7 linked regions of the Neurospora crassa OR74A genome follow. The protein of the gene in region 4 interacts with the protein of the main gene of each other region in a biochemical or structural test. Links are inferred from orthologs where the notes say so. Each region holds a gene or a part of one and is shown on either strand. Other genes may lie near its edges. The genes, in order: NCU01741, NCU05959, NCU04252, NCU01907, NCU06708, NCU03889 and NCU02706.

Region 1 (3,811 bases), on a different chromosome or scaffold from region 4:
GATGAGGAGGACGACGAGGAGTTTGTGCCCGAGGATGAGGAAATGGAGGAGTAGTCCGAGGCTATCTTCTGATTTCCTTTGATGGTTCACAACAACAACAACAACAACAACAATGACAACAGATTCTTGTTTTCTTTCTTCCTGGGTTTCCCCGTTGGCTCTGCGCTTTGCTCGCTGCCAGTGGTTGAGTTTTATGATGATCACGAGCTTGGAGATGTAAGCCGTCTTTTGGCTGATTGCTAAGCCTGATTGGCTGGACCTATTTATGTACGTGAATGTCAGCTATAAGGCCTGGGGTTGTTTGGTTCAATGCGTTGGGAGTTCCCACAATCAGAATTTGGCAATACATGATAAGGGTGTAAGTGATCATTCGTTTATCAGTTCAGGTAGACCGATCTCTTCTGTCAGCCAATTTCAAAGTATCAACATACTACGTACGTTGGTGTATCAGAATACGCTTGATCGCTTGTCTTCACTAACCTAACCCCCATAAGTGGAGACATTGGATGATTCCCCTGTCAGCTCAAGGGCAGTTGGCCTGTTGAGATGGGGTGCCACTAAACTAACCGCGAGGCAGCCTGAAGGGGGTGATATGTCTACGGCTGACCTATGAAAAGGTAATATTCCGGCGAATTCTAGAGTTGCTATGACCATCGAGATTTGATATCGGTCCTGTTCCTGGAGTACACAGCAGACGTCAGGAACCGGAGCATCGCACCAGCCACCAACAAGGTTCGCGATCTTGGCCTGATCCACCGGGTATTCTACGCAGTACCATACACCAGCTTCTTTGACGCCAACATCTGTGAGAATGCATGCCTTCGACTTGGAAAGCTTCAACGATTCTGAAAGTCTCGGATTTGGGCTTAGATTCGCTTCAATAAGTCCATACTTGAGTCTATGCGCCTTGCGCAATCTAACGTGGATCAACTTATTGCTGACGCGACAAGCTGAGAGAGAAAAAAAAAAAAAAAAAAAAAAAAAAAAAGGTAGAGGAAGAATGGAGACGCTGAACGCCCAATTAGCCAATATCAGTGGAAGCAACACGGGCACCTCTCGGAGGGACTTTGAACAACGCCGAACATGAACCCTCCGACATAAAGAAAAATTGAATGATTAAAACCAGATACATTGGGGAAAATAGTGTCAAGTTCTCTCGGAGAGGAAGACGTGACACCAACCCAGATGTTCAATCAACGTGTCCTTGTCAGCATCATGCGGCACGAACAACATTGTACCTTTTAGCCATTACATATGTATCACCCAGACACGGACTGACGTTGTAGTTTATGTACATGGACGGCGCACCAAGGTAACATCTGGCCAGAACAGGCCTAACAACCACCCAAACTAAAAAGGGGGATCTGCCGGCGCTGGCGGCCAAGGGTCCACGGGCATTCAACTTTATTTTCTTTCTTCACCACCCGCACACCCCCCGCCCGACGCTACCTCTATGGAACCTGCCAATTCATCATCTCTAATACCTACCCACACTCTTACAAGTTAGCTAGCATTTACCTGTCAGGATTCTCGAAGACGGATCGACCTAAATTTGCTCTCCATGATGGCTTCCAGGTGAGTGCGATTCTCTTGTACGTTCGTCTTAGCATTGCACCACACCACACGCAAATGCCACCTTTCACATTTCGAAATGCGACTTGGCCTGTCAACTCGACCAAACCCACGACCGACACGCGATGAAGCGAGCGGCCGACCGAGCTGCCCGGCTCCGGTGAACGGGTGTACGATATTGCCACCGGAAGATATCTGCGGACCAAAGGCAGCAGCTATCGATGTTATGGTGGTTGGTTTGACAAGTCACGATTTCTCGACCTGCCCCCCCTGGTCATGGCGCGACGGCCTCAACTACGTCATCGCTCTGGTTTCAGAGTCTCGCCAACACGCCTCCAACCATGCCATGGTAGGATACGATACGAGTTCACTACCGTGATGTGATGCAGTCGCAACAGCGGCGCAACCACAGCAGCACTGGCGACGAGAGCGAGAATGACAGCGAAACCGAAAGCGTCAACTCGATCCATCCACCATGCCCCCGGGTCGTCCTCGATTCGACTTTGACCACCCACCACAACCCCCATCCCACCAACCCCTTAATCCTTCGAACAAGACAAGACAACACCCTTCTAACAATTAGTCCGCTTTTCTTTTTCTCCGGAGTACAGATTTGCACATTCCTCTCTACACCAGCGCGACCCGCGCAGCGACCTTTTCAAGGGCTACTCTGGCTCCAGCGCAGCCGAGCGCCGCTCGGCCAACGCCAGCCCAGCAAGGTATGGCGGTGGCGGCGGATACGGGTACGGGGGCGGCTATGGTGGCGGTGGGAGTTATAACGGCAGCTCGTCAACACTGGGGATGGAACGGGGCGGGTTTAGGCCTGCTACTCCAAATTCAAGGGGCCAGTACAGCGACGCAGTCCTCAACGAACTCGAGAGCCAGAATGATGAGCAGGTGGAAGGGATAATGGGTAAAGTCAAGATTTTGAAGGATGTATGTTTTTGTTCTCTCTTTCTGCTCTCCTCCCTCTCTCCCACTTCCTTCTCTCGCAAGCCACCCATCAACTAACCCCATCCCTCCCCCACAAACAGATGACTATAGCCATCGGCGATGAAATTCGAGACTCCTCCGCCCTCGCCGAGAAGATGAACGAATCCTTCGACCAAACCCGCCTCCGACTCCGTGGTACCATGAACCGAATGCTCATCATGGCACAGAAGACCAATGTCGGGTGGAGGGTGTGGCTTGCCTTTTTCGCTGCCGTGGTGTTCCTCTTTTTTTACGTGAGGTATCTCTAGTATCCTTCCAAGGTCAAGGTTTTTCTGAACTTGGAAGAGAGAAAAAGAAAGAAAAGAAAAAGACAAAGATGGAGGGATATGTTGGTCGGCGGAGTGGTCCTCCTGCTGCTGCTGCTGCTGCTGCTGCTGCTGCGCGGGGCAAAGCGATATGTTCAAGAATGATGGAAACGAGAAAAGAGACCATATATATGCAAAGGAAAGATGGGATAGTATATATATGGCTTTAACGATGGGTAATACCAATGGATGATGAGGAAAACGGAAGGTTCTAGGTCAAAGTGGCTGACTACCTTGTGGGATAGAAAAGGCATGGATATGGGTTGCCCTTGGTAGATTGCGGGCGGACTTGGTTTTTGCATGCTGGCGCCGGGGAGTTCGCGTTTGTTAAGTCGTTCGGGTAGTATCAGAAGTCGGTTTTTTTTGGTTTTTTTGTGGTACCTAATTATTTTAATCATTCTTAATCCGTTCTCCAACCAATGAGGTTCAATTATCTGGTTTAATCCACTGATCAATCATGAAGCTATATATGGGCTCCCACAAACGTGAAGTGGATAATCATTGAGCGTATAACAGACAGTTAATCAGAACTGCGTGTAGACTACCACTGCATAGACCAGACCATTGCTGTAACGAAGATCAAAGTTGTCTTTTGACGGACATTATCTATTCAATCCTGCTTCCCAAGCCACCAAGTAGCTACCCATACTGCCATGATCCCAAGACTCCATGCGCCAGACTCAAACGACCTGTTATTGAATGATGCTTGCTGACCGTTCCTACCACAACTCCTCAGTTTTAATCCTCCCTTGTTTCTCTTTCCGAACCACCGCGGACCTTCATTCTAGTGCAACCTCCTCACCCTTGGACTGCTTCTCATCATGGGACTACTCTCATCAACAGACAACAGCCCACTGATATCCAGACTGCTCCTTGGCGCTCCAATTGTGCTCCGCCTGGCATTTCCCGCAAGACTAGTCCTCAACAGCCGCTGCTGCTGC
Region 2 (3,255 bases), on a different chromosome or scaffold from region 4:
CGGTGAGTCGCTGAAATCGGCCGCCGATGTGTCAAAACCGTCGGACGTTGGCGTGGGCTTTTTCCTTCGGCGGCGGCGGCGGCGGTACGTAACTCGATCCTGGTGAATGTCGCCAACACTCTCCACTAGCCAAGCGATGATGTATTCCAGCGAATCCTATGGCGTGCCGAGAGTGGATCAGCCTGACAAACCTTCGAATGAAGAACCTCGCAGCGAATTCTCGAATTGTGACCGGGGTCGCTGATTTGTCCGTTGGTGATGGATGTTTTGTGGTGGAGGTTTAGTCAGACGGGTCGGTATCGCTGGGCTGAAGCCTGGTGTTGCTGGACGACGAGCAACAGAGAGAGTGTATGAGTGCGTGTATGTGTGTAAGTAAGTGTGTGCCACGAGGCCGGACCAGATGGCCATGAGCAGTCCTGGTGTTTTGATGTCGGCGACGAAATCCGAATGTCATAGCTGACATATATATGATTTAACAGAAGGTGCAAATCTCGTGGCAATGTCGAGCAGCTACCTACTATTTGCGCCGCAAAACAACATTGCCGACCAATCCGACCCGACTGCCAGGAGAACATTTTCCCAAAGCATCGGTGGCGACAGACTACAAACCCAAAAAAGACTTGGAAAATTCAAGACACCAACCAGAAACAAAAGGCTGGCAATGTGTCCATTTTCTGGGGAAACCAGCCAAGGTTCGCGTCAAGCAGCCGTGACAGTGTCTAGGCAGTGTACACTATATTATCTTAGCATGTCTTGGGACGTGGCCGTTGACTGGACCTTCTAAGCGATATGTCCCCCAAAACAGTTCCCTTCCCTAGGTCGTCATCGGTCTCAATTCGTTGCTGGCTGGTGAAAGGTCAACTCAGTCATACAAAGAAACCAATTGAAGAGTTTCAAGACGCCAAAGTCCCCGGCAGTCCCAGGCGGGGTTGATACGTTCAACTGGACACGGTCCGTGTAAGTTACACTTTGCAAACAATACATACAGCGCTTGCGTACACGTACTGCAACAACACTGCAATACATGCGGCAACGCCAAGCATGTGTACGTCACCCGCCTAGGCTGCAACTGTAACCACTGTAACTGTATGTAACAAGCGGAATGTCATGTGCCCATGCTGGTCCGTGCCCACAGCTGCTGTCGTCTCCCGCCTGCGGCCTGCCTGCCTTTCAGTTCGCTTGTCAGGCTGCTGAGACGACCGCAACGACTAACGGGGCTCGAAGCACACTGGTGTCGCTGGCGACAGACAACATTCGACGACGACCACTACTCCTTGCGATCAGACCAACCACACGCCAGCCCAACCACATCTCGTCCAACGCGACCGCATCAACGACGCCCCTCTTTGGCATGATTAATGACGAATCTGAATAATTGAGAATAACGATACCCGCCGATAAACGAGCATCACCCCGATACGGCCAGCCCGACGACAGCACCCCCACACCTGCCCCGAACCCCAACCTCCACATCCGATAGCAACACATAACTCCATTGAATCCAAGATGGCCAACATTCTCGACAGCGAAGCCGGCACAGAGCTCTTCAAGCATTATGAGACGGAATACCAGCTGGTCCAGGCCGACCTGGTCCAGAAGCTCGACCAAATCTCGGAGCTGACGGGCGAGCCCAGGAAAGCCGCCCTCAGCACGGCCGAGCGCGCCCTGGAGGAGGCCGGCGAGCTGCTGGACCAGATGAACATGGAGAAGCAGAACGTGCCCAGCTCGTCGCGGACCGCCATCAACAAGCGACTGCGCGACTACCGAAGCGACGTGGACAAGTATCGTCGCAAGCTGCAGACGCTGGCGACGGACCGCAGCGCCCTGTTCGGCGGCAGATACACCGATAACCCGGGCTCTTCGAGTGGCGATAGGCATTTTGAGCAGAGGCAGCAGCTGCTATCTGGTGGGTGGTGGACAGAAGCACCTTATACATGGCAAGAAGAAACGGAATGCTGACTATTTCCCCCGAAACGTAAAAGGCACCGACCGGCTCGATCGGAGCACACAACGCCTCAAGGCCAGTCAGGCGCTGGCCGCCGAGACAGAGGCTATTGGCGCCAGCACCCTGGCCGACCTGCACCGCCAACGCGAAGTCATTGAGCACACCACCACGATACTATACGAGAGTGAAGGCTATGTGGACCGAAGTGTCAAGACACTAAAGGGCATGGCACGCAGGTACCACCCTCCCCTTTTGTCCCAATGCGAATCATGATGATTAGGTAATACTGACCACTTGCGCCTTTACCATTAGGATGGCTACGAATCGGATAATCACCATTGCGATCATCACCGTGCTGGTCCTCCTTATCATTGCGGTTATCGTTAGCAAGTTCAGGTGATTGTGTCGAGAGAGCTGAGCGAATCCATAAAGAAGCAATACAACATCAGGTAGAACAGGCAGGGGTGTTCAGTGACATCACGATATATACGAACAGGTGGTGGATGGTTTGGACTGTACCGATGGAGCGTTTGTTATAACAGAGACATGTTCCAGTTCCATGTTTTTCGTATCGTAGGGATGGTATCGTACGGGGGGTTGTATTTTTACACAGACGGCGTCACAAAGGGAGGTGGTTTCGAAATTTAGACGTATTTCTTTCTCATGACCATACGGCGGCCTTGCTTCCATGGACGTTCCGACATCCGACAGGGGAAAACGGCTCGCCATGTCCACCACAACTCGCCGCCACATGGGTAGCGGATCGTTCTCTATGATTTCAAATGATTCTCCTCTGAGACATAGTATCCCTGACTTTGGTCGGTGTTGACCGGGGCCTTGGTTAAAACAAATTTTCTGTTGGCCACTGTTGTTTGAATGATTTGCGTTCACCACACCTCTGCTGGGATGTGACTTGGTAGCTTGGTAGTTCTACAAGAAACAGAGAGCGAGCCTTCGACAAAGTCGCTATTTCTTGTGCCCAAATTAAGCTTCTTTGCCACCCTGAAGAACCGTGGTGTACTGTGTATATCCCAGCAAGAACTGTGTCTTGGTAACTCATGTACACTACAGGCCTATTACAAATGAGTAGACTAAGAAATTTTCCATGTGATGGAAACACGCATCACTGCAAATCACGTCAAGTCATCTTCTTCGAGATACTTTCGTTGTTGTTAACATTTGCATATAACCCCACTTTCACAGATACGCAGTACATAACGGACCCTCAGACCTTCCACAGCTCCAGTTGAACTTTAGGCGGTGAAAAAAAAGAAGTCCACCGGACTGATGTTCCGCAGCTCAAGCTGCAG
Region 3 (4,214 bases), on a different chromosome or scaffold from region 4:
TAAAGTAATTATAATCTGATATATAGCAGCTCCTCACTTCCACCCCTCACTCTTCCCCTTCATCTTTGGCCATCAATCTACGAAACCTCCTTACCCAACCTCTCCAACTCCTCCTTGATAAAGCTGCCAGCATTAAGCAACTCCGTACCACCATAAATCACCCTCCTCTTCGCACGATCTCCCGTCGTCGTTCTCGCCGCCCACTCCTGCAAATTGCTGTATTCGGCCGTGCTCGCACCGCCAACCATGAACACAATCGCCTCCGAGAACCCCTGTCTGCGTTGCCCGAAACTGGCCGTTTGGCCCGGGCCACTTGATCCTGGCAAGCCACCGGGCCCGCCCAGGGATGACCCGCTCCCTTGGGCCCGCATGGCCGACGGCTGGGGCATGGTGCCGCGCGCGTTGGCGCTGCGCGGGTCGAAGTAGAGGTAGTGTTCCGTCTTGGCGATGGCCGAGGAGCTGGCGGCCGATGGGTCCATGAGGGACTCGGTGATCTTGGTTACCGTGAGGTCGCGGTCTTCGGGGAGGAAGTTCTTGATGCCACCCAAGAGAGAGGCCACGTTATTGGAGAGAGCGCCCGTGGGCACGCCCGTCTCCTTGAGGCGGTCGGTGAGACGGCTGGAGATGGCGGAGAAGCGGTTGAAAAGGTCCGAGGACCCGGATTGTTGCTGGTTGGAGGATGAAGGATTATTTACCGTGGTGAGTTGTGTCATTTTGGTCGTGGCGCGGACTCTGTGTGGTATTGTTAGTCAGAAATGGCTGAAAAAGCCCAAGAAAAAAAAGGGGGGTAGCACGTACTGCTTAATGTAAGAGAGGCACGTTGTGTCGCAGCCCTTGGCCGCGAGTGCCTCCTCAAATTGCGTCCATTCCTGACGAGACACATCCTGTTCCGTGCTGAGGTACCAGATCACAAAGAGACGCAGGTAATCCTCAGGCTTGCCCTTGTCCGCCGTCTTGATCTGATCCAGCACTTGCGCCTTGGTTTGCTTGAACACGTTCTCCTCCAGTTGGAAGTAGTTATCCAACTGTCGGCTTTGAATCTCGCCAAGGATAGCAGCAAGGATGTTCATGTGCATATCCAAAGTGGCTTTTCTTGCGCGCAGTTCGGGCAAGAGTGTAACAGCTGCTTTTAGATGCTGAGCACTTGCACTCGAGTCTTGTTCGAAATGGTCCAAATCCCTAACGCCAGTCTTCTTGGTGAGAGCATCCGCCTCCTCCTTGTATTTCGTGAGTTCAATGTCGATGTCCTCGGCAACCTAAGCATCCTGGTTAGTAGACCATCCTCAGGATGTCCCGTCTGCACTTCCAGCTTACCTGAGGGAACGGCAGGCATGAGTTCTTGGCCCAGAAGAAATCATCGGCAGCCAAATCATACGTCTTCTTGTTGGTGCCCTTGGCCGGGTTATTGGAGTCCACGGGGCTCTCGATTGTGATCCGGTTCGATTCCGACAAACCAAAGACGTCGGCGCATAAACTCTGGTAGGTCCACGAGTGGGACAGCATGGGAATTAGGTCAATATTACGGTCCATGATAACGAGCAGGGGCTTTGGCGTTCCAGTGCTGGAAGCGGCTGCCCTGTGTGCCGAAAAGAGGTTGTCCTTGGAGTTGAGAATATGATCGCGAAGTTTTCGGTCCAATTTCGTTGCAACCATCTCAGCAGCAGCACCCCTGGGGCAGCGAATAATGGGAATGACGCCTAGTGTCACCACCACGCTAAACAGGCCGCTGACGATCCTGTCGATAACTCTGTCCAACTCCTCATCTTGTGTCTTTGCGCTATTCAACGCCCAGTATGTATGCTCCTTCTGCATGCCCAGACTGAACAAATCCGGCTCGGGAACGATAAAGTTGAGGTACTGGTCGAATATCTGGGCAATCTTCTCCGATGTGCCGGCGACAGCGGTTTGCGCCGCAAAGTCCTCCAACAGTGGCCGTGGTACCGAGGAGAGGAAGTTGATGCTGGCAGAGTTATAGAGGTTCTTCTGAAGATCATTGGTGATTTGCTGGAGGTTCTTGGCGTTCGGTTCGATAAGGTAGATGGCATCGACATCAGGAATCGGTTGCCTGTTGGCCGCGATGGAAACGTGTAGCGTGACGCCCATGGATCGCAGATCCGAAACCTGGAGTACTGGGCTGATGACATTGCGACCAAGCTCGTCAAAGACCAAGATCTTCCACGTGGGAATGTCCTTTAGCAAGGGGGCGGAAGCGGATTGGAAGCCATTCGAGTCGTCGCCGTCGGTCGGTTCGAGGGGTTGGTTGAGGTTCAGGAGCTTCTTGATAGACACTAGAGAGCATGTGTCAGTCCACCGCAAGACTGTCTGGCATTGTGACCCTTGGGGATAGGAAGGCAGTGGGACATACAGATCTGCTTGTCGCGCAGAGAGTTCCCTGGTGTTGGCGCCATGTCTGTGTATTAAAGTGATTGCTATGCTGGTCGGCAGGAAGTTCGTGGAGGAGGACTCGGGGCCGAGGTGCTGTAGAATACTGTAGGCTGTTGAGGCAAGTGGAAGGGAAGGTAGTAGCTCCCGTCTCGCTGTCACAGTGGTGGGGCGGCTTGTGATCGCGTCCCTTGAACCGAATTATCGCTAGGCTGGCCTCGAGTCGTTGGCCTTTTCGCAAACTTTGAAAGAGAGCCGCAACTTTTTAAAGACGAAAGAGCAAACGTGTTAAGATGTTACAGTACTGAGTCCAGAAGATCCTTACGTGTTCAATAGTACCTAGGTATACAGAAAGCTGACGTGAGGAAACAGAATATCTCCGTTGAAGCTACCTTGGGTACCTACTTCTGGAGGTATGTTGTCTTCTCTGGTCCGCAAGGTACCTGACATCTCTCCCTCGGCTTGGACCAGTGGCCTTTGTCTCCCAGTGGACTGTTTACCCCTTCCCTTCTATATCCGCTAACCTCCACTTACAGGAGGTGCCGCCCTGAGCTGAGAGCTTTCCCCCACAGTAGAGGTATGACGAGGATTCCGTTATCGTCCTCCAATGTTCGATTGACACCGCAACCAGCAAGTTGTGACATCTTCCTGTCTCTGTGGCGTTTACCTTTGACTGTTCCAGGAATGGATGATTGAGCCCGTGCGTGTCATCGCTGACAATTTACCATGTCGTCCGTCTTATTTGCTCTCGATTTTCCTATATCCGTAGAAGTGTAGAGGTATGATGGACAACTTCAAGGTCCAGAGAAATACCTTCCCTAGAGGTAGGTTGGTACGTACCTCTAGGTATTTTCAGTATGTCTGCTCCTGCCATAACCTGTCTGCCTGTCTAGAGGTAGGTAGAAGTAGCGATTAAATGGTAAGGTACAAACACTGCTGCAATTTCCCACTGATTCCTGCCCCCAGCTGGCGCGGACCCACCCAAAACCCAACAAACGGCCGGTTCCTCTTTGGTTCCAGGTATCGTGCCAGCGTGCTACATACAGAAATCCAACTTCCCAGGGGCACTTCCACCTTCACTTGCCACGCGCACTGACCACAGAAGCTCTTGCTACACGTGTGCTGACTTCCACTTCGTTGCGTGCCTGGGCCATTTTTGGAGAAAGGCCCGTGATCCGCCAGTGCCAACGAGCGTCGGCGGCCCGTGAGCGCTAGCGTGCCAGCCAGTCAATGCACTCCCGTCACTGGCAAACTCGTTGAGAAAGCGCCTGCCCACTGCACTCATGCACCCGCTTGCCCAGTCGCAAAGCGTCAGTCCCTTTTTATGAACGGCGGAACGCACCTGATTTGCGCGACCGCTGCTCACGTTCAACTTTTTTCCTTTCAACTCCCGTCGTCACCCTGACCTGACATCAGCAGCATCTCTCCTTTCTTCGACGACCAACTTGTCGCCCTTGGTCGCCTTGTCGCATCGCCCATCGTCGTACTTGATAGTCGCGTCCTTTTCTTCGTACATCTTTTCCCTGTTCTGGCAAAGCTGTAGAGGCGATTTAAACGCGCAGGTTTTCTTGACGTCTCGGGCGTTTTTCTGCTTGCGCGACCGTCATTCGGAAGTCGTCTCTTTCCCTGGCAGCTGCAGTCGTCCGATCGACCTGCGGCCCTGGCTTTTGAAGATTAATTTCGTTACCTGCCTGCTCAGCTGAGTTCAAGGTCGGGACCTCTCCATTCTTTAACCCGGGATAGAGAGGAAATGCTGTAGCGAACTGCGATAATCTCATCGCTGTTGTCTTCCGCGCACGCGTGGGGGAGATTCGTGACGAGTTTGCGGACGC
Region 4 (4,055 bases):
AGGAAAGACAGAGGAGGATTGACCAGTTATATCAAGTTACGTTCGAGGAGAAGGTTGTCCAGGGTTTGAGCCACACTGGACATTCGGCTAAATGGCAATCGGCGTTAGAGCGTGGGGGATAGTTATGGTGTTATCGATTCCGAGAAAGCTACATGTTTGTAATGATTCTTTTTCTTCATGTTGTCTGTACCTGACTAGGTAATCATGAGACCTGAAATTCCGACTGTAATTATTCATGGACAGCGTGGATGGAAGTAACAACGGAACATCGACACGCCATTGTGTAACTCGAACATCGTGAACTTGGGTTTGAGGCGTCCAGAAATACGGCACTCGGGGCTTCTGTCTTTTCGTGTTTAGTCAGTACTCGATGGCATTCGGCGTTTCGTTAAGATATCAGACAGTACTTCGAAGGTGGGATATCGACAACCTCGCCAAAGATAGCCCCAGCAACAAACATCCGGTCAATGGAACGGATGGCATCCTCTCACCTTACCCCGCGAAACTTGGCTGAATCTAACAAGGGCCTCGGCGGAACGATTGCCCCTCTGTCGGAATGAGACCTTGCTGTGGTGTCGGTCCGCTCTACTATAGATAGTGGTAACAGTGAGTGGCCGAGTGGATCCGTCGTGTTCGCTTGCTCTGGGTTTCTTTCTGGGGCTCGAGCGGAGAGCATTAGTTCCAGGTACCGAAGCTGAGTGGAACTGAAATGATTACAGTTGCAGGAACTGGGGGCGTGGAGTGCTTAGTCTAAACCTGTTCCTCTATTGGTGGCATTTAGCGTAAGCGAATTCCGTCGGTTAAGTATTTGTTGACCTTAGATGAACCGAGAGCGAACTTTGAGTCTTGATCCCTATGCTGAAGCCAACTTCCTCGGCAAGTAGGTATAAATAATCAAATGCCCCCACCGACCATCCAGAGGTATACCTGAGCTCTATCAGCCTTGCAAGAGGTTATGTTGTGGAACAGTGAAAGGACATGGAAGAGCGCATGCAAAAAAAGAACCGCATCTTCATGAGGAAGAGAAATTGTATAATTAATGCATAAAGTCTACAAGAGACGCCTCTGCATGCATTATAAAGAAGAAGTATAATATTACTGAAACGCCGCCACAACTGCCGTCTACCCGGCAATTAATACCCAGAGAAGGAAGAAAATCATCTACAAAGTCGCACAGCGTTAGAGTTTTATGCAGGGCATAGGTAACAGAGCAGGAATACTGGGCTTACCAAAACACCAAACATCTTGGCTAAGAGCCATCTATTACTTGAAACACGGCTCCAATATTTGAGCAGTTCTTTTTGCGCGCCTTCGACGTTCTCTACCACGTCCTCTCTGCATGGTGTGTTAGTACAGTGCTGGTGTGTCGAGCGTCTCGAGACAAACCTACGTGTTGGCATCAATTCTTTGTATCATCTCAGATTGTTCGCTGACCATGGCCGCGAGCTGCCCAAAAATGGAACCCAGCTCATTGATAGTCGACTCGATGGCCTCGATCGCTTGCCCTCGTTGTTGGACGTAGGTGTTTTGGCCTTCCTCCAACATCTGGAGCTGCATCTGCTGATCTCCCATCGGGTTCAGCGAGATCAGATCTTGCTGCCCTGGTGCTGGCGTTCCCCTACTAGGCGTGCCGTACAGAGGTGACGCAGATTGTTGCAAGGAAGCATGTGCGTGCTGACCTACTGACGAGACAAAGTTCTCGGTCCTCGACCGCGACGCCTGAATGTTCTTGGTTCTGATTTCGAGCACGTCCTTGAAATTAGCACCAACATCTCCCAGCTTGCCCTGTAGGAGCAGGAGAATGTTTTTGTTGTTCTCCCCTTCTTGGTCGGGCTTCGGGTGCAGACGTCTAGAGAGATCTTGCAGGTTCCTGATCTTCTCGTTCAACGAAGACAGGTCTTGCTTGATGACAAAGGTCAACTAACATAATGGTTAGCCAGCCAGTTATGGAGTCGAGGCGCGCAAAGATCAAGCGCATGACCCAGCTTACCTCGTTGATTTCGACCGGCCTGTCATCGAAAAGAGTCTTCTTCTTGGCCAGCTGTGCTAGCTTTTCCAGCTTGGCCATTGTCGCAGAGATACCCCTTCCAATCTCTGCAGCCCCCCTCGCAAACTCAGACCTTCTGGGCTGGGCATCGCTGCTGGCAGCATGTTGTTGAGCGGTGTCCAGAAGTCGCTGCTTTCCTGGCTTTGTGGCCTGCCTACGCTGGGCAGCCGCAACAATCTGTCGGAACTCTTCCGTTCGGTCGTTGATGGCAAAGACAGCCATAATTAGAGGTGTATCGGTATATGCTGAGGCGGTAGTCCGTCCGTTTCCAACAGCTAATCGCGGGGAATGGGTCGTAGAGGGGCGCGTGTACCCCTGAGCAACCGGCACGCGGTTAAGTCGTAATCAATAACACGTCGGAGTTCGTAAGTCAGGAATCGAGACGTCGTCAACTTTGTCAATCGTGACCGGGGGCGAATGCGACTCGTAGGCTGCGAGTTTGCGGAGGAGATTATGGATTGGCAAAGTGGAAATGGGCGGATCCGGGGGATGCGGCGGGAGCGAGGCTAATTCGCGACTGGCGAGGAGGTCGGCGGCTGGTCGTGGGTGTGTTGATTGAAGGTCGTATTTATGAAAGGCGCTACACGATGGACTCGCGATGACGTATGAATGAGTGGCGGTGTTATAAGTTCGTCGTCGTGGTCGTGGTCGTCGCCGTCGTCGAGTCAAATGGTTGGTGTCGTGGTCGTCGAGGTTGAACAAGCTCCTCCGTTGTTGTCATCAGCGACGGGAGTTCGATAAAGGGAAAACGTGGTTACTTTACTTACATAGTTTCAGGAGGGCCCGTGACGCTGCAGTGTGTGGCTCGGCCCCTGCAGTTGAGTAAGAAAAGCTCACAGTGCAAAAATCCAAAGCTGACTGACCAAGACACTGTTGTTAAGCATTCAGTTAAGCTAGACTCGCTAGTAGTACATTTGATTGGACATCAGCCCAGTCTTTTTAAAGAATCAACTTCCCGATCAACCTTGAAGTCGATAACACCTCGGCACTGCAACTCAATGTTCTTTCACATTGTATTTTTTTGCCACTCTTTGGAATAGTATGGTTGCCCCCACACTCAGACCCAAAAGCCCAAGAATGGGAGATGAATTTCTGGTTATCCGAGCCAAAGGTGTGAGATGTGACTAGAGGTATGTCATTTTTACATGATGGGGTCACGTCTGTCAGAATGGGAAGACGCTTCGTTGAATGCCCCTGGCCTCTGGGTTACTGCGTTTCTGACCCACTGCGGCCCATGGATTTGGGGTACTACCTCTAGTACATGAATGAACGTCAGGCCGGGCGCTTGGAGCTGAGCGGTACCAGAAACTCAAGGCCTGTCACTGCAGCGCCAGCAAGGGTGGAACGCCATTAGCATCGATCGAGGCGCAACCAAAGTAGGTAGCTAAGAATTACCTCTAAGTAGATACTCTAAAAACGGATGAAATCCGGGGTATCATTTCTAGAGCCATTGTGACTGCCTTTGAACTAGGGCTTCACAAAACCAAACAACTTGCAGCACTTCTAATTCTCATTCAAATGGGATTTTCCCCCCTTTCCTGGCGAGTTATGTGGTTTGCTGAGGCCTGAATGCCCCGTAGAAGCGTCGCCGTGAAGGCCTCTCTCTCCAGATACCTATACTTGACTAAAGAATTGAATGCAAATTATCAGTACTTTCCCCTTGTGTAGTGAGTTCGTAAACCTAAAAGAAGCTTCCCTTCGGCTTCACCTCACCTACCTCTACCCAAGAGGTCTACGAATACCTTACATATTCCGAAAATGTAGAGCCACAGGTTTCTCTAACTGCATCCGCGGCCGAGTGCGGTGGCATTCAGTTAGTGCCTTACAGAGTGGAGAGTCTAATAGCCTGTCTCATTAAAGCTCGCCCCACGTCCGCCTGACGTTCCAATGCTGCCCTGGGCTGCTGATCCCTGCCGCGGTCCCGGACCATAATCTTCAACAACGAGAGGAAAGAGCAGGGAGCATGAATGGATGCAGTGTCATCTGGTCAACTGCCAGCGCAAGTCCA
Region 5 (3,157 bases), on a different chromosome or scaffold from region 4:
CCACATTGCCCCCGTCCCTGGCGATTGGCTGGCGAGGATATGGTGTCCCTACTGCGACGAATACACGTACGTGGACCAGGGTGAGGACAGCGAGGACGAGGTCAAGTGGGCACAGGACGAGAGGGGGTTCGAGGACTTGGCCAGCTTCCAGGAGCATTTGGAATGGTATCATACGGCGTTGCCGGTGCCGAGTATACCGGCGTTATTGCCAAAGGCGGCGGGGAGTTGTTTGATTATGTGATTGAGGCTTGCGGGTGCGTGTGCGGGTGGTTCAAGCTTGGGCTTAGTGTCCAGGGTGTCGGTTTATGTTCTGGATTGAGAACAACAAAATTGAAAAAAAGAAAAAAAAAAAAAAACGGGTTTGGAATTGGAGTTTGGGGGGGCAAGAGCTTCTACTTCAAGTAGGGAAAGAGACCGATAGGCTATCTCAGATGGAGATTTTGTATCATCGCTTGACAGAAATAGCGTGTCGAGCAGAAGAGATGCCGGTCTGGAATGAACCAGGAGATACGCATGATTGAGCATCGGTGACACTGTGGTACAGTCATCCATAGAGACCTTGTCAGGCTTTAGGAAGGCATCGGATGAAGGAGTGGAAAGCAGGAACCTATAAGCAACATGTCTTGATAGCTGAAACCTCACCTGGCCAAACGTCCTTTTGCGTTTGCCCCCCTTTCCCCCCAACCTCCTTTACCCAAACTCCATGCTAGGTCAAGCGCCAAAAACCAATGCCCTACAAACACATATTAAAATAATTACAGAATCCACGTAGGCTATCCGTCACAGCATCATACAGAGCCAGGCTGACTGAGGAAACCCACCCGACGGTATCATGCTAACCCGCTACCGGTGATGCTCCCTGCCTGGGATGCACTCAAAAGAAGAATCTCCACCACAAGAAGAAGATGATAATGGAACCGACCGCCGCAAAGGGGCCGTACTGCTTCAGCAGCAAATCCCAGTTGATCTTAACAGCCGCCCTCTTGTACTTCTTGCTATCGTCCCTCAGCCTACTGCTCAGCTCGCCCATGCGCTCCAGGCTGTCGCCGCGGTACAGCAGATCCTCAATGTTCTTGGTCATGACTTTGGTCACGTCCCTAAGCTCATCATGCAGCTTATCCAGGTTCTGAGTCGCACGCGTGTCGCTGTAAGTCGCCTTGGTGCGGCTGATGAAGCTGTCAAAGTCCATAAAGGCATAGGGCCGCAGCGTCGGGTTCATGAGCTGTGCCGGGGTGTGCGTCGTCGCGAACTCGCCCGCAATGTCGGAAAGGTAGGTGAAGGCTAGCTTGCGCGGGTACGACCGGTCCGTAATGGCGAAGTATACGATGTCGGACTGAATCAGGTAGTGCAGCGTGTAGAGAGAGCCGCTCTCGATGCTGGCTTGCGGTTCCGAGGTGCGCGTTAGGCGGCGCAGAATTAGTTTGACTTGGGACTTGACTTCGCTGAGGGAGGATTCAGTTGCTTCGTCGTCGACGGAAGCGCAGAGCATGAGGCCTGTGTTTTGAGGGGAGGGGTCTTGGTTAGCTACCGGACAAGACATTGACATCTCCATAGGCACACAGATGTTGGTCGAGGGGGTTAGTTAGGGGGGGGGGGGGGGGGGGCACGAACCATCCAGCCGTGCAATTTGTGTTGAGCGGATCATTGTGAAGAATAGGTTATATCACTCCTTTTTCATTGTGTTGTTTTTGGCGACCTTTAGTATCGTTGTGCAACTCGAAATCAAGGCCAGTTCAGTTGCGTGCTTGGATTTGTTAAGTTGGTGTCGTTGGAGAGGACAGTGAACAAGGCAAGGTTTATAAAAGCTTGTGATGACGAGTGGGAGTGATCCGTCAAAAGCAGCCAGGTACGTGGCTTCTACCTAGGTACCGCAACCAACTCGCACCGACGAATTCTCTTGTTCAATTGCATGCTTCTTTCCCTGTCGACCAGCAGACCAGATTGTAATTCGCTATCCTCTTTCTTGTTTTTTTTTTTTCTTTACATGGCTATATAAAGAAAACAAAACATTACCCGTAGGTAGAGTGATGCAATGATTTCGCCAGGCCAACGTGTGTTTCCTTATCAAGGATTACAAGTCGTCAAACGGGACACTGATGACGGTACTGCCGCTGGAAATGTGTTGAAAGTTCACCCTGCAGGGCCTGCAAGTTAGTTTTGTTTAGGTAGTTAAATAGTGCGAGCAGGCAGTCTCGCCCGGCCCGCTATTCACGCCTACTATGCAGTATGTACAAGCTACCTCTAGCTTCCGGGGTGTGTCATGCAAGTGGCTGCCCGGGCTTGGCGCCTTTCAGCTTCCATCCCCACCCATCCTGTCCATCACACAACGACTTGAAGAAGGAGCATCTTCAACCGAACAACATCGGGGAAGGGGAGCTGGAGGTGGAATATCTACCTACTTACCTAGAGGTACCTATCATTCATCACAGTCAGTATAATCCCCCTCCCAGTTCAGAGTGGTGGTTAGATCAAGTTCAGTTCCACCTCGTTCCCTCGCACATCCTCCCAACCTTGCGCGTCAACTTGTACTCAAGGTAGTACCACTTCGGTTCGTTTCGTTGACCACATTTTCACCTGAACGCATCTCATTCTCTACTTTTATAAACCCCCCACTTTCTCCCCTCCCTTCCACCAGACATCAGTTTGTTCGCAGATGTAACCACAGCCATATTGGCCGCATGAACCATCATTGACTTACGAAAGACAAACGGTGACTTTCACGGCGCCATTCTGCCAGTTTCTGCTATCTGGTATTGTTTAATATCACAACAACTAAGTAGTTCCGGATCTGTCTAGATCCAGATCTGACTTGACGGTAATTTTTCCTTTGCCGGCAAACCCACACTGCCGCGTTCGATCACTCCTTGAACAACTTCAACACGCAATAATTATCTTTCCAGAAAGGCGACTAACTGAAGGTGTCCTGAAGGATGGCTGAAGAAGGAAGTAGTTCTCCGCTGTCCTCCGTCCTCTCTTCTCCTCCGGCCTCACCTCCCCGGAGCGTGAGTGGGGACTGGGATGCTATCCTTGTCCAAAAGATTGATACTGCTGCGCAGGTGACTTTGGAGGAGATAGCAGCCGAAAAGTCAACGGTCGAGGAACCAGCAGTTGAGGAACCAGCAGTCGAGGAACCAGCAGTCGAGGAACCAGCAGTCGA
Region 6 (4,129 bases), on a different chromosome or scaffold from region 4:
TTTCCGGCCTAAGCGGTGGCAGCTTCTTCGATTCCAAGCCCGCCACATCCTCCCACCAATCCAAGCAGTCCATCAGCAGCCCACTGGGCTTCTCATCAACCCCTCCTCCTGCGCCAGCCTCTAAGCCCGCGCCCGCTTCCTCCGCCCTCGGTGACCTGTTTGACTTTTCCACAACAGCTACTGCTACTACCGCTCCTCCCTCGGCCGCCGCCCCGAAGCCTTCATCTGACTTCAGCTCCGCATTCAACCTTTCCAAGCCCGCCGCAACCACGCCGGCCCCTGCAGCCGTTACTTCAACAACACCAAACCCTCTTGCCTCTATTGCGACGTCTAACGCCTGGTCAGATGCAGGTGTATGGGGTTCCAACGAGTGGGCCTCCGCCCCTGAGCCCCCCAAGCCTGCGGCTCCTGAACCGCCCAAGCCAGCACCTGTTACCTCTATCCCTCTTTCTAACGATTTTGGATGGGGCAACAGCACCACCACCTCCTCCACTACCGGCGGCTCCTTCGCAAGCCAACCTATTGTCCCCAGCGCTTCGGGCGGCTTTGCCCCAGCACCAAAGGTGGCGGCCGATGAGGAGTTTGGGGGCTGGATGAGCAGCACTACCACACCAGCTGCTCCGAGCGGATCCAAGCCGGCTACCGGTTTTGGTGGCAGTGACGACCTGTTCTCAAACGTCTGGCAATAAGAAACCTTAGAACGACAATTCAGGGATCTCCGACATGGGGTTCAGAGGTAACCGAGTGCAGTCTACTGGGATTTTTGCTGTTGTCCTCGCGCCTGATGCCGACCATGTAAATATATAATCAACCGGCAGGTGATGTGAGAAATAGCTCGGACAAACTTATACCAAACCAAACCAAACCCATCAAGCGTCCGAACTTGTTTTTCCTTCTATACCACCTGACTGGAAAGGGGATGCTATCCACGAACACCATGTCGTACTTATGCTGTGGGAGTCTGATCTAGTTAAGAGTTAGGCAAATGATGGTTTATGCGTGACAAATAGGGGAATGATGAACAACGCAGTCATTCTTACATCAGCAAGTCATGTTTTGTTTTGGCATATTTACATTATAGACAACAAGTTATTGTTCGTTGGTAGGGCAAAAGTAATGCACTTTTATATAGGATCCTCCTATCTTTTGTAAGGTGTGTGTTGCCCTCATTAATGTCCTTCTGATGTCCTTGAAGTTTCAAAATGAAAAATCAAGGATGAGACTGAGAAATGTCGATGTCTGGCTTATACGACACGACGTATCAATGACAACCTAAGGTACGCAGAAACCAAATCCCAAATAAACAAACAAAACCGAACCGTCAACGCCATTGCTATGCCTTTGCATCTACCCGTCTGTTGTCGAGACAAAACATTAAGCCCAGTCTGTAAACCAAAATCCACACTTCGTTCAGAATCCACCAAAACACAGACCTACGGTCCTGCGTGACCTGCTACCCTCCCACCCATTGCCCCACCCTACATTGCACCTCCTCTGCGCAATACTAGTAGCGGCTTTTGTGGGAGCAAGCGGACTGCACATCGCCTGTACCAGCACTCCAACATCCAACAAGCTATCCGGACAAGCTCCATCCTGTCTTGATGTCCGGCTTCGCACGCATCCGTCTTATCATTCCTGATATTTGTCGGGAATCGAATCGTGCCGCCCTCTACATCCTTCGCCCTGTGTTGTTGTAGTGAACCCGATGAAGAGAACCTCCCTTCCTTTTGCTTCCTGGCATGTATTCGCATGTCGAAGTTCAATAGACCCAATAGACCCAATATTCAAACGACTTTAGCCCTCTCACACGTCGTGACTTTTTGAATCATTTAACCAACAAAAAGTCGATAAAGATAGTAAATGACCAGGAAGCTCCCAATAAGAATACCCGAGAGCTTGAGAATGGCGACCTTGTTCCCCGATGCGGCCATGCGGCCTAGACGGGTGGCGGAACCTTTGAGTTGAGAGCCCATGGAGGAGAAGGTATCGGTCTGTTCGTTGTTGGTGGGACTTGTCAGTTTGTTATTTTGTGCAGAGTAAAATCAAAGGAACCGTACCGTTTGGTCGATAACTTCGTGGTTGCGCGCCTGGTCGTAAATGTCAATCGTTACACCTCGAAGGGCAGAAACCTTGGAGGCTAGCTCGTCGAGGCGCGCATTATTTTGGCGCTCGCGCTCGTAGTTTGCGGACATCTTGATAATGGTAATGGGGGGGGGTTGTGTTGTGGTCGTAGTTGTATGTTGCGACTCGCTCAGCGGCCGTGTGGGAGGTTCACTCGTCAGTTTTGAGTATCGGGTTAATTGGAACTCGCTGATATGGCCCGAGTTTCGTATTATCGAAGATGTTATTACGTGTTATTTTGTCGCGCGCGCGGGGGTCGGCTTCGGTGTCTTGCAGCGTCCGTTGTTCGGAGTGAAGCCGTGGTGTTCCTAGGTATTGCTGAGTGCTATGGGGATGTCAAAAGGGGGTAGGTTGTAGCAGGTTCCAGATGCACTCAGTTCAGGGTCACAATGAAAGGACACCGGGATCATGCATCCATCATGATGGGGGCGGCCGGCTCACTGCAGCTTGTTGATGCATACACCAGCCACAGCTACGGCCTCCTAGTCGCGAATGATGTCAGTTTCGGCCATTTACGTGTGGCTGCGCGTAAAGCACATGCATGGTCAATGCGGGGTCTTTTTCGGGGGGAGCGGAGCCTGCTGGAGCCATTTGATTGTGCTCGTGGTCGGGCCACTGCAACTTTGGGTCCCGTCAGTCAGTCACCTACGTAACGACGAACGCCCGCTCTGCTCTGCCCGCTGGACAAGGCCCGGGTATTCAAAGTGGAAGGTGCAGGGCGCAGGGACGGAGTAAAGTAGAGAAGTAGAGGTACAGTAGTGTACGCTACTGCACAGCCCACGGCGGCAGTGCTTGCCCAAGCCCATCCCAGCGTCTCCAGTGATTGAGGGTCCAGTGCTACAGTTCTCACATGACGCGCGGCACGAGCTCCAGCTTCCATTTCCAAGTACTTCCATTTCAAATGTTGACTGTGATGAATTCCATGCCACTGTTTAGCCTCGCTCATCAGTTACTCCGATCTGTGAAGAAGAGGGAAAAAAACAAACTCTCAAACGGACAGTTACACCAACAAAAGAGCACGCACAAAGGCTTATCCTCCGGGAACAAGATCGTTCATCACGAACAACAAGTGACCCCAAGGATCTCCCCAGCATCTTGACAAACCGCCGTTGTGGGGACGCCCAGGTACCAACCTCGCATTTACTATGTACACAAGAAATTGACCGGGCTGATCTGCTTACTTGCTTGCCTGCCAGTGTGCCTGCAGGCATTGATCGGCCAGTGTCCCGAGAAATGACTGACGAACTCCATCTCTTTCTTTCTTTCTAATATTTCGCTGTCGCTGTCGCATTTCCACGGCATTCTCACCGCAGCCGCTCTACACGCCCTCGCCCTTCAAGACCCGCGCCAGTCCGCTATAGGGAGTTCCGCTTCGACACTTCAAGATGGGTATCAACAACCCTCTTCCGTCGTCACTTTCGTGTGAGTTTGTGTCCCCGGGGTTCCCGTGCTGTGCGAGCCCGACCCCGCAACTCCCCTTCGCTTCGCCGAATCCGACATCCTAACACGTCTGTAACCAGCGGAATGTAAGAAGTGCGGTAAAATCCTCGCCTCCTTCATCGAGCCCAAACAAGCCTTTGGTCCCGACAAGGTGATACCGCCATCAGTGCTCGCGAATGCCAAGGTACGAAACAGCATCCGCAACCTCAACGAAAGCGACCAGGTGGTTAACGTTCTCCTAGGGTCTTGCTATACTCACCGTCATCAAAGCTGGTTTCCTCGGATCTGCCCGTTTCGGTAGCGGCCTGGTAGTCGCCCGCCTCCCCGACGGCAGCTGGTCTGCCCCCACCGCCATTGCTACGGGTGGTGCCGGCTTCGGCGGTCAGATCGGTTTCGAGCTTACAGATTTCGTTTTCATTCTCAACGACGCGAGCGCCGTAAAAACCTTCGCCCAAGCTGGGTCACTTACACTTGGTGGTAACGTTTCGGTCGCGGCCGGGCCTGTCGGTAGAAATGCCGAGGCCGCCGGAGCCGCTTCGCTGAGAAGCGTAGCGGGCATCTTCAGTTA
Region 7 (3,396 bases), about 1.2 Mb from region 4:
CACAAAGGGGATTACGGACGAGATTCGGGAGTCAATTGGTTTGCTAAACAGCAAGGTTGGCTACACGTATCTGGTGGATCATAACTGCCGAATTCGATGGGCGGGCAGTGGTGATGCGGAGGGAGATGAGAAGGAGGGCCTGATCAAGGGCGTCCAGAGGATTTTGGACGAGATGACCAAGGAGGGTGTTGGGAAGAACTATGTGCGGAAGACAGCGGCTGTCCCTGAGTTGAAGGCAGAAGGGTCTGTTGCGGCGCAATAGGCGACCCGGAATGCCTAGGCGTAAAGATGCATTGAGATGATATGGGTGACAAAGTCTCCATTGCCCAGCTGACGTGTCACAGAGCTTTTGCTGGAACAGAAAAGCAAGGCTCGCCAAGCTCAAGGTTTCTGAGCATCGAATTCCTGCTACAGGGAAGAAGCTAATTGAGCTTACGAGCAAGCAAGTCGGCTCATCGGGGGCTGAGATGGGCGCATTTCAAAATACCACGGACGAACGGGGAAATTCTGGTCTGTTCTGGTCTGGTCTACAGCAGATGCGTCCACGAGCCATGGTTTAACCAGCAAGAATGCCGTGGACTTCTTCTTGGGTTTGTAAATTATATTATTATTTTGTAAAATCACTTTCACACTTACTTGCCTCGCAACGCCCCTGAACGCCGTAATCCCCGCCATGCTTCCCGTCAAAGTACGAAAGCCCGACACTGAAGTAGTGTGTCATGTACAGCCGCTTACGATAAGGGTTCCTGGAAGATGCGATCCTGTCGCGCTTCCAAAGATCCATAGCATGCGCTCAACAAGAAGTGAGCCGCATAACCGTCCTTGAGCAGAATTTCTCCGCTCTCTCATGTTCGTGAAGCGCTCTCCCACTTCGTTCACCACCGCCACTCAGGAGAAGAACCAGAACATCAAGAAGCAGAACGCAATGAATGAGCCCATAATAATGCCATCCCGTCTCTTCCTCGCCGATATCCTCGTGATCAGGGTATTGATTCCGGGCACCTGGCTCGCCGCAAGAGTAATTCGCCGGTTGATGTGCGCCAGCCGCTCTCGCTGGGACGCGAATGAGTCCTGCACCGCGTACGCCTGGCTCAGCACGCTGTCGGCCACATCGTGGCTGCGGTCCAGCCTGCCTCGCTCGTCCAGCATGTAGTCGGCCTCGCCTTGCTCAGGGTTGGCGGCGCGGTATGCCGAGATGTCGTCGCGCACGCTGCCTAGCAGGTTGGCACGCGTGCGGGCCGACTCGAGCGTCGACCGCAATCGGGAGAGGTCCCGCCGGTGGTCCGAGAGCTTGTCGCGCAGAAGGGAGAGGTTGTTCTGCTTGAGCGCTGAGGGGGAGGGGTCCGAGGTTAGGAGGCGGGTGAGGTGGGAGATTACGGACTCGCGCTGAAAAGACCATGTATTAGCAGTGTTCGAATTTATGTAAACAGTTTTACTTGACCTCTAAAAACTTACTTTGTCCAATAGCTCCCGTAGTCTCGTTTCCGTATGCCTTTCCTCTTCTGTCGGCTTCGGTGGGATGTTGGTCTGGTTCGAGAACTGGGCGTATGTGTGGAGGAGCATTTCGGTCTGTAAGAAAATGTTAGTCTCATGCCCTTCCCATTTCCCAAGGCCCATGACCAGTTCAGTCGTACTTGTGTTTCGAGCGATCGGGCTTGTTGTCGTAACTGGGCCCAGCCCTGGGTTGAGGATGTTGTCGCCGCCATGATGCAGTGCTGCTCCTAAGCTATTGGGGCAAGATCGATGAATTTCAACGGATGCGATTCGTCCGAGTTGCCTGAAGGCGGCACTCTTGGCGGGAGGAGAATATGATGTGGTTTGAATTTATAAAATTGTCTGTAATAGTAGTGGTAAGGTTGATCAGGACAGGTCAACCGGTGGAGGATCCTAGATCAGACGTAAATGGTCGTGATGATGATGATTGATGCTTGCACGGCAGAGATGTGGCTTTGTTAGTGGAAGAAGTTCAGTTACGTATCGGCAGGCGCCACAGTTACATGTCCACTGTACCGTAGCGGCCTGGGTCGACTCTTCAGCTGAGCTGCTGCAGAACGACAGAGCTGAAGATAGGGCTTCACCACGTAGGGGACCCGACGATACATTCCATGTCACCTTATGCCAGGTGTCAGCGCCTCGGCACTGGCAGCTGATGCACATCTCAAGAGTCTAGGCCAAGCATGACATCAAGGTTCATACAACTACTATCACGCGAGATATCTGCGGACCGTACCGTTCTCCCGTCTGAACAGTGGTAGACATCAACTGCGGCCGTGAACGTTGGCGCGAGTTCATAACCATCACGGTTGATGACACTGAAGTTGTTGGACGCGGCGGACACGATTAATCAGCACACATATAGACATGCGAGCGAAGATACCTCAGCTATTGTTGAAAGACATATGACAGAAGGGCCAAGCCATGTTTACACGGGCTTTGTAAAGTGCTGATAAATCGCAAAGACTCACCATACAGTCGTCGTAGCTGTTCACTGAATACGTGTGATTCGCAGACATACACCGACGCAATGAGAGACGCAGTTTCGCACATAGAACGCACGAAGGATATCAATGGTCGAGTATGCGGTAGGCGCAGTAAATAGCATCTGTAGGTATTGATCTTCCGCTCTTTGGACGGATCCCTAATCGCATGGTTTGGTGCGATACCAGGAGGAACAGGCTCTCTGCGAGAGTCGAGTGCCTTCACGAGCCCCCTGTACATTGTCATGGGGCGTCCCCAATGCCTCGAGTTTCGCTCGTGACCCGTATCCTCTGCAAACCGAAAGCCGTATTTTACCATCCTGATGACTGTAAACCCTCATAACAGACGCCGTAATGGACCCGAGAACCGTCAACGTCCAAATGCAACTGACCGAGCCATACCGCGAACCGCACCCGCATGCAGTCCCCTAGCACCCATGCCCACAATCTACCACTTCATCTCGTGGGGCTTGTCACCCTTGCGGAGGGTGAAAGAAGAGGCGAGGTAGCTGGCGAGGAACTCGACCTTCTTGATGTTGGCGATGAGGGCCTTGTCGATGGCCTTCTGGTCGGCAACGCGGCTGCTGGAAACCTCCTTCTTCTGCATCACTATGTCAGCATTGTGCGCCCCGTGTTCCAGCTCGGAATTCCCAAGTCGTACCTGGGGCTTCTCGCCCTGCTTGAAGAAAGCCTCCTCACCAGCCTTCTCCTTGGACTTCTCGGCGGTGAAGTACTTGGGCTGAGCGATCTCGTTGATCTTGGCCTCGTCGATGCCAGCGAGATCGACCTTCTGGGAAGTGGCGATGACGTAGCGGGCGTTGACGCGACGGAGGGGAACACCGTTGATCTTGAAAGGGCCGGTGACGAGAAGAACACCCTGGTCGAGAGCCTTGAGGAGGACGACGCGCTTGCCACGGAA

What was found.
Region 1: the proteins of NCU01907 (region 4) and NCU01741 form a complex in vitro, tested with the Saccharomyces cerevisiae proteins (4 studies listed by BioGRID). The link is inferred for Neurospora crassa OR74A from reciprocal best matches to the Saccharomyces cerevisiae genes SED5 and BET1.
Region 2: the proteins of NCU01907 (region 4) and NCU05959 form a complex in vitro, tested with the Saccharomyces cerevisiae proteins (2 studies listed by BioGRID). The link is inferred for Neurospora crassa OR74A from reciprocal best matches to the Saccharomyces cerevisiae genes SED5 and VTI1.
Region 3: the proteins of NCU01907 (region 4) and NCU04252 form a complex in vitro, tested with the Saccharomyces cerevisiae proteins (7 studies listed by BioGRID, with this or other methods). The link is inferred for Neurospora crassa OR74A from reciprocal best matches to the Saccharomyces cerevisiae genes SED5 and SLY1.
Region 5: the proteins of NCU01907 (region 4) and NCU06708 form a complex in vitro, tested with the Saccharomyces cerevisiae proteins (5 studies listed by BioGRID). The link is inferred for Neurospora crassa OR74A from reciprocal best matches to the Saccharomyces cerevisiae genes SED5 and SEC22.
Region 6: the proteins of NCU01907 (region 4) and NCU03889 form a complex in vitro, tested with the Saccharomyces cerevisiae proteins (2 studies listed by BioGRID). The link is inferred for Neurospora crassa OR74A from reciprocal best matches to the Saccharomyces cerevisiae genes SED5 and SFT1.
Region 7: the proteins of NCU01907 (region 4) and NCU02706 form a complex in vitro, tested with the Saccharomyces cerevisiae proteins (2 studies listed by BioGRID). The link is inferred for Neurospora crassa OR74A from reciprocal best matches to the Saccharomyces cerevisiae genes SED5 and GOS1.

Annotation. Positions count from the first base shown.
Region 1 is NC_026502.1:2,582,606-2,586,416, reverse strand, and holds NCU01741 (SNARE complex subunit), read left to right. Parts: upstream 1-1,346; 5' UTR 1,347-1,561; coding exon 1,562-1,575; intron 1,576-2,183; coding exon 2,184-2,508; intron 2,509-2,606; coding exon 2,607-2,813; 3' UTR 2,814-3,311; downstream 3,312-3,811. Other genes in the region: NCU01740 (histone H2A.Z-specific chaperone chz-1), read left to right, coding at 1-54; NCU01742 (hypothetical protein), read right to left, coding at 3,655-3,811. UniProt on the Saccharomyces cerevisiae protein: SNARE required for targeting and fusion of ER-derived transport vesicles with the Golgi complex.
Region 2 is NC_026506.1:3,311,437-3,314,691, reverse strand, and holds NCU05959 (vesicle transport V-SNARE protein VTI1), read left to right. Parts: upstream 1-1,189; 5' UTR 1,190-1,506; coding exon 1,507-1,906; intron 1,907-1,982; coding exon 1,983-2,181; intron 2,182-2,257; coding exon 2,258-2,345; 3' UTR 2,346-2,755; downstream 2,756-3,255. UniProt on the Saccharomyces cerevisiae protein: t-SNARE found in various SNARE complexes involved in multiple transport pathways. The composition of the t-SNARE complexes is specific for a limited number of v-SNAREs and therefore allows only the vesicles carrying the matching v-SNARE to fuse.
Region 3 is NC_026505.1:5,366,441-5,370,654, forward strand, and holds the start of NCU04252 (SNARE docking complex subunit), read right to left. Parts: upstream 2,801-4,214; 5' UTR 2,409-2,800; coding exon 2,366-2,408; intron 2,289-2,365; coding exon 1,315-2,288; intron 1,257-1,314; coding exon 799-1,256; intron 733-798; coding exon 78-732; 3' UTR 1-77. UniProt on the Saccharomyces cerevisiae protein: Able to suppress the functional loss of YPT1. SLY1 is essential for cell viability. May interact indirectly, or directly with YPT1.
Region 4 is NC_026501.1:2,073,864-2,077,918, reverse strand, and holds NCU01907 (syntaxin 5), read right to left. Parts: upstream 2,801-4,055; 5' UTR 2,270-2,800; coding exon 1,991-2,269; intron 1,921-1,990; coding exon 1,391-1,920; intron 1,336-1,390; coding exon 1,230-1,335; intron 1,162-1,229; coding exon 1,123-1,161; 3' UTR 492-1,122; intron 347-491; 3' UTR 84-346; downstream 1-83. UniProt on the Saccharomyces cerevisiae protein: Required for vesicular transport between the endoplasmic reticulum and the Golgi complex. Acts as a target organelle soluble NSF attachment protein receptor (t-SNARE).
Region 5 is NC_026505.1:4,348,019-4,351,175, reverse strand, and holds NCU06708 (protein transporter sec22), read right to left. Parts: upstream 1,808-3,157; 5' UTR 1,646-1,807; coding exon 1,612-1,645; intron 1,495-1,611; coding exon 875-1,494; 3' UTR 501-874; downstream 1-500. Other genes in the region: NCU06709 (hypothetical protein), read left to right, coding at 1-241; NCU06707 (uncharacterized protein), read left to right, coding at 2,931-3,157. UniProt on the Saccharomyces cerevisiae protein: Nonessential SNARE involved in targeting and fusion of ER-derived transport vesicles with the Golgi complex as well as Golgi-derived retrograde transport vesicles with the ER.
Region 6 is NC_026506.1:2,053,271-2,057,399, reverse strand, and holds NCU03889 (SNARE), read right to left. Parts: upstream 2,801-4,129; 5' UTR 2,193-2,800; coding exon 2,058-2,192; intron 1,992-2,057; coding exon 1,830-1,991; 3' UTR 690-1,829; downstream 1-689. Other genes in the region: NCU03890 (stromal membrane-associated protein), read left to right, coding at 1-689; NCU03888 (DUF500 and SH3 domain-containing protein), read left to right, coding at 3,507-3,543, 3,642-3,745, 3,804-4,129. UniProt on the Saccharomyces cerevisiae protein: Vesicle SNARE required for retrograde transport within the Golgi complex.
Region 7 is NC_026501.1:3,263,831-3,267,226, forward strand, and holds NCU02706 (protein transporter GOS1), read right to left. Parts: upstream 2,026-3,396; 5' UTR 1,707-2,025; coding exon 1,635-1,706; intron 1,570-1,634; coding exon 1,456-1,569; intron 1,387-1,455; coding exon 889-1,386; 3' UTR 501-888; downstream 1-500. Other genes in the region: NCU02705 (F1F0 ATP synthase assembly protein Atp10), read left to right, coding at 1-262; NCU02707 (60S ribosomal protein L6), read right to left, coding at 2,926-3,078, 3,139-3,396. UniProt on the Saccharomyces cerevisiae protein: Involved in transport from the ER to the Golgi apparatus as well as in intra-Golgi transport. It belongs to a super-family of proteins called t-SNAREs or soluble NSF (N-ethylmaleimide-sensitive factor) attachment protein receptor.